Linked DNA regions of Danio rerio. The protein of the gene in region 1 purifies or fractionates together with the protein of each later gene. This does not show direct contact. Links are inferred from orthologs where the notes say so. Each region holds a gene or a part of one and is shown on either strand. Other genes may lie near its edges.

Evidence for each region. The genes of interacting proteins can lie anywhere in the genome.
Region 2: the proteins of fosab (region 1) and ep300b purify together in Homo sapiens (affinity purification with western blotting; 3 studies listed by BioGRID and IntAct, with this or other methods). This does not show direct contact. The link is inferred for Danio rerio from reciprocal best matches to the Homo sapiens genes FOS and EP300.
Region 3: the proteins of fosab (region 1) and cop1 purify together in Homo sapiens (affinity purification with mass spectrometry; 4 studies listed by BioGRID and IntAct, counting the BioPlex papers as one, with this or other methods). This does not show direct contact. The link is inferred for Danio rerio from reciprocal best matches to the Homo sapiens genes FOS and COP1.

What each region holds. Positions count from the first base shown.
Region 1 is NC_133195.1:49,906,116-49,910,207, forward strand, and holds fosab (v-fos FBJ murine osteosarcoma viral oncogene homolog Ab), read right to left. Parts: upstream 2,615-4,092; 5' UTR 2,504-2,614; coding exon 2,399-2,503; intron 2,172-2,398; coding exon 1,962-2,171; intron 1,847-1,961; coding exon 1,739-1,846; intron 1,650-1,738; coding exon 1,023-1,649; 3' UTR 501-1,022; downstream 1-500. UniProt on the Homo sapiens protein: Nuclear phosphoprotein which forms a tight but non-covalently linked complex with the JUN/AP-1 transcription factor. In the heterodimer, FOS and JUN/AP-1 basic regions each seems to interact with symmetrical DNA half sites.
Region 2 is NC_133178.1:23,789,361-23,792,860, reverse strand, and holds part of ep300b (histone acetyltransferase p300), read left to right. Parts: intron 1-3,054; coding exon 3,055-3,219; intron 3,220-3,500. UniProt on the Homo sapiens protein: Functions as a histone acetyltransferase and regulates transcription via chromatin remodeling. Acetylates all four core histones in nucleosomes. Histone acetylation gives an epigenetic tag for transcriptional activation.
Region 3 is NC_133177.1:38,101,960-38,105,459, reverse strand, and holds part of cop1 (E3 ubiquitin-protein ligase COP1), read right to left. Parts: intron 1,596-3,500; coding exon 1,514-1,595; intron 1,412-1,513; coding exon 1,295-1,411; intron 1,215-1,294; coding exon 1,097-1,214; intron 328-1,096; coding exon 203-327; intron 1-202. UniProt on the Homo sapiens protein: E3 ubiquitin-protein ligase that mediates ubiquitination and subsequent proteasomal degradation of target proteins.

The sequences.
Region 1 (4,092 bases):
ATGTATTGGGTAATTTAATAGATAGCTTTCCCAGGAATGGGTTGCAGCTGGAAGGGCATTCGCTGCATAAAAACGTGCTGGATAAGTTGGCGGTTCATTCCGCTGTGGCGACCCCAAATTAATAAAGGGGCTAAGCCGACAAGAAAATGAATGAATTATTTTAACAGATAGCATAAGTAATACTCCATACATCGACTGTTTTTACATTACTGTGATAGTTGGGGTGGGGGAAGCCGTTAATAGAATACAATTAATAGGAAATTTAATAAATAATATAAATCTCGCTAACATCCGGCCGCAACCATATGTGATCTATAGATGATTAACCATGTGGATGGACGATAACAGCCTTCTCAGTCTACTTAGTTAACTTCCATCCTCAACCGTATTTGATCTAGCAACAAATGTGCAGTGTTGGTTGTCCTTCAGGAACATGGTTGGGAAACACTGCTGTAAACTGTATTTTCAAGCCACACAATAAGCTCGCATTCACACAAATCTTTTAGTTTATACATTTAATATTTATTGTGTCTAGTTTTTTTTGTTTGTTTTTTGCAAACAATTCGCAAGTTCACATTTCAGTACAAAAATAAAAACTCCATAAATTAAAAGAGAGACTACGTTTTCACAGAAAACTTCATACTTGGACGTCAGACCATTTAATGCAATGGTTAGGCAGCACACATTTGAGTAAACAACATTCACACGTTCAGAAATCAACCGTTAAACGGCCGAAAAAAAATAACATGATAGTTCTCTATTGCTCAGAACACACTAAATACAACAAATCTAGCACCGGTAAACTCAGAAAAATAACTATATTAGGTTAACTCAACACTAACCAGATCATTAATGCAAATAAAATCAGTTGATCCATGCTTATCTTGCTACATGTGGCAGGCATGTATGGTTCAGATAAATATAGGAAGCAATATCCATTGCTTTAGAGTCACTTCCATAGCCCTGCAATGCCATTCGAAATCAAGTCACAGATATAAATACTAATAGTCTTTAGTGGAATCTCAAAGAGTGAGGAGGGTTGGGGAATTCAAGGAGTCGGACGACTGATCGTTGCTGCTGCTGCCCCTGCGATGCACTGATGTCGGGAAGACGTCGTTTTCTGGGTAGGTGAACATGAAGGAAGACGTGTAGGTGGTGCAGGCTGGAGTGCAGGTGACGACGGGTGTGCAAAGCGGCTCCAGGTCAGTGTTAGCCGGCGTGTAGAGCGGCTCCCAGTCTTGAGTGTACAGAGAGTTGGACAGGTCCATGTCTGGAACCGAGCGAGCCGTTTCCAGCTCCGCTTTAGCCAGGAGCTCCAGAGACTCCTCTAGAGTGGGCTCCAGATCAGAGATCTTCACTGTGGTGGAGCTGAAGCTGTCGGTGGAGGCCGTGCTGGAGAACAGCAGGCTGCTGGAAGAGGTCGTGATTGATGTGTTTGGTGTGGAAGAGACCACTGAGGTAGTGACGATCTCTGGGACTGAGATGGAGCCCATGGGAGAGGAGGACGGCTCTGGGAAGCTGGCGTCGGCCGGGATCTTGCAGATGGGTTTGTGTGCGGCGAGGATGAACTCTAACCTCTCTTTTTCTTTGAGCAGGTTGGCGATGTCGTTCTGCAGGGCGGATTTTTCATCCTCAAGCTGGTCAGTTTCCTGTTGTGGAACATCAAAGGGTTAGTTTAATGATGTCATGGATGGAACGAGCTAGAATGGGATTTGGAGGGAAAATGCAGAATACTTACAGCTTGCAGTGTATCGGTGAGTTCACGTCGACGGTTGCGGCATTTCGCAGCAGCCATCTTGTTTCGTTCACGACGTACTCTTTTCTTCTCTTCTTCTTCTGGAGAAAGCTGCAGAAGCACAAAAATAAGGGTGTTTTAGCATTGGCAAATTAACATTCAAAATGTAGATTGTCAGTTGTTTGTCAGTTGATTTTAAAACAAAAGTTAATTGCAAATTATTTACCTGTTCAGATCTGCTTCTCTTGTTGGAGGTCTTTGCTCCAGTAACCCTCATTTTGGGGTAAGAGCTCGGGTTGTAGGATTGAGCTGCGCCGTTGGAGGGCGCCACAGAGGAGATCATGGGCTGGACCATCCACTGCAAGTCCGGGCATGAAGAGATCGCCGTGACAGTTGGCACGAAAGAGGCACTTGAGACACTCAGATCCGTGAACTCCTGAAATATAGAATATGAAATCGTTTATTATATGATAAACAATATATTTTGATTAGTCACAAAACTAATATATATACAATTTATTTGTTTATATTACTGTTTATGGGGTTTCATTCAGATTATAACATAATACAGAACATAATATACTTTAAAAACATAAATAAACTGACTTAAATCATGATTTATCTGAAATGATCATTCTAAATATATTGCTGTCATGTAAATACCTGAGTCTGGTTGAGCGGGTAATACCCGACGCTGTCGCCGCTCGGTGAAGCCGTGCTGCACCGGGAAGACGCGTCGCAGTCGGCGTTAAGGCTGGTAAACATCATCCTGTCAAAAGTCGAAAAGCACGAGCTATCCAGCGCTAATATATCCAGAAAGTTAAAAACGCTCCGGTCTTGTATTTCCTTGCTCGTCTGCTGCTCTTTTCTCTGTTTTGGTATCCAAAGTTTGACTGCCGCTCCACAGCGCTCGCGGGGTTTATATCCAGATCTGTGCCTGACGTCAAAGGGAGGGGCGTGGCCATGTGCGTTCAGTGTTTGCATAGAAACGTTAAAAACACGTCTTCGCGAGCGCATTTTACTGAATACATTATCGAAACATTAATAATGCAAGAATACACGCTTAATACGTAAGATTTTATCTTTAAAAACATTCGCATGTTGTTATTTCTGGGTGAAACGGAGTGAAAGAGACGATGTTCCGTAGCAGGGTATCCCAAGACGTCATTTAACTTATATGGAAAACATCCTGAAGAGGCGGAGTGCTTATGGGAAATACTCTGTGCAAGTGAGCAGCATTATGTAAAGATAGTTCGAGAAGATTTCAATGTTTTACAAGTAAATAAATAAATAAAAACAGCATTTAACAGAATATACTTATTATATCAGCTCTAAATGTATTTTTATTATAGTTTATGAACTTGATTTAATGACTTTATATTATTTTCTTGACACAATCATTTGATCAAAATTGAATATGTCTTTTTAAGTACATATCACGTCCATGCTGTGTTTACATGGCACCTGTTGTCCTAGATTTCATCATTTCTGTGCAGAAGTATTCAAAGTCTTTCATGCCCCGGGCTGTGTTCGTACCTTTGGGTGTATAAAGGGCGTGTCGACTCATAAACCACGTATTTCCAGTGTGAACTGCCTTCACACGGTTAACGAGGGATTCCTTTGTAACAAAATGCTGAGCTCATTTATTTCCTCAGCCTATTGCATCACAGTAAATAATAATAATGCAAGATTTGTAGTAGTCTAAATGTGTTAAATCTGCTATATTCAATACATTTTTCAATATATACGTTATAGTATATTTAATAAAATATATGAATCACTATATTATGTATTAAAATCATCTACATCAGTTCAATCATGTTTATTTAGGGACCATTTTTGTATTGCTCATCATTAATTGTCCGTATTTATACGTTTATCATGTATAAAAGTCTTCGTTTATTACTTGTCTGCCGTTGGCTACGGGCAAACATGAGGTTTGTTATTGATTAACAAGCGAAAACAGCTCTATCAGCGTTCCCATGTGACGTCACTGATCCACTTCTCTGCTCGTGTTTTGTTTGATCTTCCGCGTTGTCTAAGCGACGCCCCTCCCACTGTCGTCACTGCAACACGAGCCTGTGCAAATGAACTCTGAAGTTTCACCTTTCAGCAGCGAGAGTCTGCTTTGTGTATTGCCGGTAAATAAACACGCCGCTTTGATTGTGTATACTTTACGGGTAGCAAAAAACTAAATTGCAACGTTTTATAGTCGAAAATAGTTTTGGTATAAACACAATAAATGCTTTTGACTTCCACATCCGACACCTTTAACCCTTTTCTAGATGTTTAACATGAAATGTTTGTCTGTAAATGTGAAGAATTTACACTGCGCCAGTTCTCTAGTTCATTTAGCA
Region 2 (3,500 bases), on another chromosome or scaffold:
ATGAGCTGAAAACCATAACATAGACTAATTGTGATATTCTACTACTGCTGTTGTCTGTTGATTTTAAATATGGAGTCTCTCACTCTAATCCCACCATTTAATTTAAGCTAATTTAATTTAGAGCCAGTACTTCTGTCCCTCGAAAATTCAGTCTTTCGTAGAGTGAGGGGTATTATCCTTTTTAAGGCATTTAATGTAAAATTTTTTGATACCTTGGAGGACTAGGGGTGCATGATTTTTTTCCATCAGCTGCTTCTGTACCTGCCATTGCACGAGGGGCTTTCTATCTTGTCGTCATGCTTCTCAGTCACTTGAGCAGCCCAACTAATCTGCTATGCCATTCATTGACAATCAATTTCATTGTTGATTTTACCCATAGTTGTATATCAGATAATGTAATTAATAATTATTATGAGGTATGTAATTGTAGTTAATATCAGGGCTCTTTCGGCACTTCCCTAGGTTTTTCTTTAGATTTAGGCTTTCCTTCCTTCCTTCTTTCCTTCCTTCTTTTTTTTTACTACATACTTATACAGTACTGCCAATTTAACTTATAACTAATTCAATTCACCTGTACTGCATGTCTTTGGACGGTGGTGGAAAACGGAGCACCCAGAGGAAATCCTCACGAACATGGGGAGAACATGCAAACTCCACACAGAAATGCCAACTGACCCAGCTGGGGGTTGAATCAGTGACCTTCATGCTGTGAGGCGATCGTGCTACCGACTCCGCCACCATGACACCCATGTTTGGGATCATTATCAGTATTTTAAGTAAAGCCCTTTCCAGAATTGTACTTATCAGGACTCACAAGTCCATCAGTTAAGACATTATTCTGAACATCACTGGCTGAAACGTAGCCCCAAATCAGGATAGAACACCTACTGTGTTTCGCTAAAGACTGCAAACACTCATTCTTTTGCCTCTTTCCTTTGTCTTTAACATGTAGTAAACAATTGGACCTGATTTCATGGGCATGACCTTTAATGACATCCGGATTGAGATCTGTAGAGTTTATTATGGATTTGGCCTATCCTTTGCAACTATAACAGCTTCAACTCTCCTGGGAAGGCTTTCCACAATTCTTCTGGAGTATGTTGTTTGGGAATTTTTGATCTGGATTGTGGTCTCCCCTTTAATTCATCCCAAAGGTGTTCTGTCAGGTCAAGGTCAGAACTCTAAAGGTCAGTCAAGTTCTTCCACACTGAACTCACTCATGGAGAGTAGGAGCATGAAATGTTCCAAAATGTCTTGGTATGCTGAAGCATTAAGAGTTCTTTACAATGGAAATAAGGGGCTATGACCAACCCCTGCAAACAACCTCTCACCGTAATCCTACCTCCACCAAACTTGGCACAATGCTATAAGGCCAGTATCGTTCTACTGGAAACTGCCAAAGCCAGACTCATCCATTGGATCGCCAGACAGAGAAGTGTGAAACCATCTACATTGTTCTTGAGTCCAGTGGCAGTGTGCTTTACACCATTGCCTTTTCTTGCTTTGCAATGAAGTTGGTGATGTTAGGTTTGGATGCAGCTGCTCAGCCTTAGAAACCGATTCCATGAAGCTCTCTACGCCTGTCCTTGAGCTAATAACTATAGATGTTGACTACAGAAAGTAGGCGACTTCTGTGCACTGTGTGCTTCAGCATACACTACGCATCCTCTTTGTTTTTTTTGTGGCCTACCACTTCATAACCAAGTTGTCGTTGTTTCCAATTTCTTTCGCTTTGTTATACTGCTAACAGTTATTCTTGGAATGAACAGTAGTAAGGAAATTACAACAATGGACTTTTTGCACAGATGTCCACCTATAACATGAGTTCACAGAGCACCTGAGAGCCACCCATTATTTCGCAAATGTTTGTTGATGCAGTCTACAAGCCAAGTCCACAACAAAATGGCCTATTTTGCCCACTACTGCTAATAAATTCTTATAAGTACAAGGTATTGTGAAGTGTTTCGGTGAATTAATTACTGGTGAAATTTCACTTTACCTAATAATAATAATCATAATAAGAAAAATAATAAGAATAAGAATAATAACTGTAGAGGACAATGATTCTTGAGGGCCAAAGGATTCTAAAGGATCATTAAATGCATAGTTACAAAAGACTGTTGTTTTTTTCTTGAAGAGCAGGCCATTCAATGTTCTTTCCAAACTTCCTATTTCAAAACTATTTATATGCAGTCAAAAGTACAATGAGAAAATTCCTGTCACACACCTATCTTTTCTATGAAACCAGACTTTATTGTTTAGTTGCTTTGAATATAGCTTGATACTAAATGTTAAAGGTCAAACATAAAAGTTTTTAGTATTTATTGGTATTAAATAAATAAATTAAAAACCAGGTTTTCTTATTTTCACACTTTAGAACTTAACAGAACTAATAAAAGACGTGTGTAGTTGTAGAATGTTAGGTTTTAAAACTAAACTAAAACGTTCAGCTGTTGTTTCAATACACAGTTCTTATTAGTGATCATCTCATAACAGAGCTGAAACCCAACCCTTTGTTTATTTTTTTGTCAAGCAAGACCATTCTCTAAATCAGGTAGTGAAATAGACGATTGAAATGAATGCGTAGCCATCTTGTGGTGTTTCTTTGGTTTGGACGAGACAGTCAGTAATATGAATCTTCACACTGAAACAATCTCAGTTTAAAAAACCTTGTCTTTTGCCTCATACAAGGAACTACGCACCATTTTGTTGATTCACAGGCGATTGCACAACCTGGACTGCAGGAAATGGGCAGAAAAAAGATGGAATGACATTTTCTATTTTGTTTGCTTGGTCTTTCTAGATTTTAAGCAGCTGTTTGAGGTTTATTTTGGGGAATTGATACTACTGTGTCACTAACATTACAGAAATGAGGCTTAATTAAAAGTTTTGGAAATAAGCATTAAACAAACCTAGTGATGGAAGCTTGTTTTGCTGTTAATATTCCTTCAACTGTTTTTTCATCATCATATTAATGGATCAAACTGAAAATATAAAGATTGGAATCGTAGCTCATAATTTTTTCTCCTGTTTTTTTTCTTTCCTCTGTCTCAGATGGGGATGATGGGTGCTCCAGGCCCGTATGGCGGTTCATATGGTCAGTGCGGAGGACAGTCTCAACTTGGGCCTCAACTCCAAAACAAAGCGGGTCAACCAAACAGCATTAACCAGTTTAATATGGACAAGAAACCTCAGCTTGGGCAGAACATGGGTGGCATGGTAAGAAAACTGTAAAGAAAATGTGTCATTCACTACCTGACAAAAGTATTATTCAAGTTTTAACGAACAACAAATAATCGCTTGACTTCTATTTGATCATTTGGTATCAGAAGTGGCTAATATGAAAGGCAAAGGCCTCTAGATTATGATTCTTTTGCAAAAATAAACTGTATCATGCCTTGATTTTTTAAATTATTTAATTAGGACAGTAAGGTCTGACTTAACTTAGACAATAGTTTTGTCACTTAACAGAAATAATGCACAGTTTTATAATATAAAGT
Region 3 (3,500 bases), on another chromosome or scaffold:
TAAAAGATAATAAGACTGTGTACAAGATGCATTATTGTGGCTTTTATAAACATTTGAACAAAAACTTTGTGAGAATTTGCCAGGGGTTTGAATAATTCCAGCCTTGACTTTATATATCGCATTATCATAGCTTTGATTATAAACCAAAATGCCAAAAGCAAACCTTTCTGTTGTTTAATTAATGTCATATCATGCCACTCACCACATGCTACATAGTCTCCATTTGATGCCAAACCCACAAAGTTCTTCTCATTGATGTGGCCTTTGAAAGAGCGTAAACAATGAGGCTTGTTCACGTTCCAGAGTTTCAGCTGGCTGTCTGTTGAGCTGTGAACACAGTGTATCACAATTTAACTCTGATCTCAGTTTAAAATCAAGACTCTAAAATTTAGTTTGTAATTATACTTTCAACACAATACTTATAAGCCATGAATGATCACTCACATTAAATATATCTTTATATTTTTTTATTTTATTTTTTTATTTATTTTAATTTATTTTATTTTATTTTCTACATTTTTGGTGAAGCACTATAGCCCATACATAAAAACCAATTCTAGCAAAATTTTAGCTGATTGTGCAACATCTCTACTGAAGCTGGCAGTGTCATTATGGTAAAAAAAAAACACTATAGTATTTACTATAAATTAGTGTATTTTCTTGTGGATGTTTGACAACTGAAAATAGATCTGGTACTAGACTATATTATATTATATATAATATTATATATATATAGATATTTTAGCCTGTGTTACTTTTTACCTTGCACTATTAGCTAACATTATAATTTTGGATATGCGTTTTCCTATATTGATTACAATACCCAATTTTTAAATTGTTAAAATATTCTTAAGAATAAAATATTATGTGTTTTTCGGAAGAGTATAATAGCATTGTGATGCTATTATACTCTTATTATATAACGAGTGGCATAAAATGGTCTTAAAAAGCAATATATCTTGCTGCAATATATATAGTACAACAAAAAATAGAGACAGATCTACCCTTAACTTCTTCCACTGACTTTTGTCCTCAAATTATTTCTACTGATAAAGGAAAAAAAAAAAAAACACAAGGACTTTGAGTGTATACATACGCAGAGACAATTTCTTCTCCATTGACAAACTTGGCATAGGATACTGCTTTCCTGTGGCCTTTGAAAACCATGATGGGCTGCTTAGTGTTCCTCAGGTCATAGTAGTGCACACAGTGGTCTGTAAAAGATTTAAAACAAAGTTTTAAAAAGACTTCTGCAGGAAGCCAAACTTTTAATAGATTAAAATGAATTATGTACCTGCACAACCGAAGGCAAGATGATATCGAGAGGTTGGACTGAACTTAACACAGCATACATTGGCCTTGGCTTCAATGCTGGCTACTGAATTGTCCAGGTTGGTGGACCATAACTTGACTGGGGAGAAGCGAGTTGCATTCATGAGTATTTATAAAAGAATATCTTCGTAAGAACTATAAATCAAATAACTTGATAGGAACGGTTCGGTTGCGGGAATACCTTTTGCGTCATCTGATCCCGACGCTAAGAGCTTGGGATCCATAAGGTTGAAATCGACACTCCAACACCGCTTTTCATGCTCCTATGAAAAATCCAACCAGCAAATCAGAGTCTAACATAGATTAAGTATAAATGTTTCGCAAATTATATTATGTGTCAAAGACGAGGCATTATTCTGACCTGTTCTTATATTCTGACTTAGGGATCATACTAAATGCTATTATTATATTTTAATTGATTAAAAACCACCTGCAGAAAAATTAGTAAAACATGGATTGACAGAGCATTACATTTTTCAATTACATGTAATTACTACTTTGGGGCTAATTATGACCCCTAAATAGAGTCTTTTTGATAAAGTAATTTCTGTTTTAAATATGGCTGAGAGGGAAGATGGCATATAAACTATTATTTCATTGAATTATAATTTTATCCTCTGTAAATAATGGTAAAAATATATGACAGACAAACACAAAATATACTCCTCAATAATCACTCCAATTAATTAAAACAAAAACACAATAAACCTGTCTTTTTTCTGTACACGATGTACAAAACAGCCTGTATTTATACATCTAATAATTATTTTAAAGCTATTATATGCATGTTATTTTTATCTGTTAAAAAGGACTGACTGTATCCATGCAATATTAAGCAACAAAACTGTTTATAACATTTAAAATATTTGACAGATCTATAATATTTGAATGGGAAACAAACAATTATTTAATTTTGTATGCATGTAATTTAAACCACATAATTACATCAGCTGTCCTCTAAAAGCATGGCTTCTGCACATTTCATTAAGTCAGTTGTAAGACTTGAAGACAATTGGAAATGTACATAAAAAACTGTTGATGGAAATGCCAAGATGCGCATCAATTTTGGAAATGCGTACGTGCATAACAAAGTAAGAGAAACTTTTTATCCGAAAAGAAAAGATGTGCGTAAACTATGATGGAAAAAACACTTTTACCAAACAAATTCAGTTTGCGCATTAAAAAAGTCTTTGCATTGTAAAATATCTGAAAGGTTGTTTTGGTTATTCTAATACCCTTTAAACTAGGTCTGGGCGATATGACAAAAATGCAAACTCGATAATTATTTTCCATATTGAACAATAATCATATAGATTTGATGCAAGTTGTCAATGTTTCCAGATTTAAAAGAGAACCCCTACAATCACTGAAGCCACAAAAATTAGAAGGTCCATTAAATGGCATAACATTTTCAGCCAAAAATTTGGTACATCTCTAATATTAACACACACTTTTAGAATCTCATGTTTACACATTTCTGCTGTATCATGGGCTCTTAGATCAATATAGCATAAAAATGTAAAAGTTAAAAGTTAAAAAATATATAATAAACTACATCTATGCACAACAATCTGTCCTTTTAACGCACTTGTAAACAATTGTTATTGTAAGAAACCTAAACGGTGAATAGAGTTAAAAGTAACCTTTTGAAATAAAGTTTAAAGTTTAATTGACATTGGTTATTGGTGATTGGGTAGCTATAAATGGACAAAGGAAAATTAATACCTGGTTTAAAAAGATTTAAGACCTACAACACAATATTTCAGTAAATTACTTTAAGACCTAAAATTTTGATCTTGAAATTTGTCTTTTAAAGACTCTGTAGATACTCTGTGAAAATTATAGAGAAAAATATTCAGAATTTGGCTGGGCGTTAAAATCGCTATCAATGACTGTTGACCGAACACCATTGTCATTTTCGCCGGAGAGGCCTTTTGGTTTCTTTTCTTGTTCATCCCAGCTACTAGCACCCCATCTGAAAAATTTTTGCATAGTGGTAATGTAGTCATTCAACTTCACAATTTTACACACACTGTGTACCATTTTATCTACCAAGCTTACGAGTAAAAAAACGTATGTTTATTTTACTATAAAGAGATGGGATATTTTGTTTAAATATTTTTGTCTATGACTATTAAAATGATTTGCCTCAGTAATGTTGGTAAATT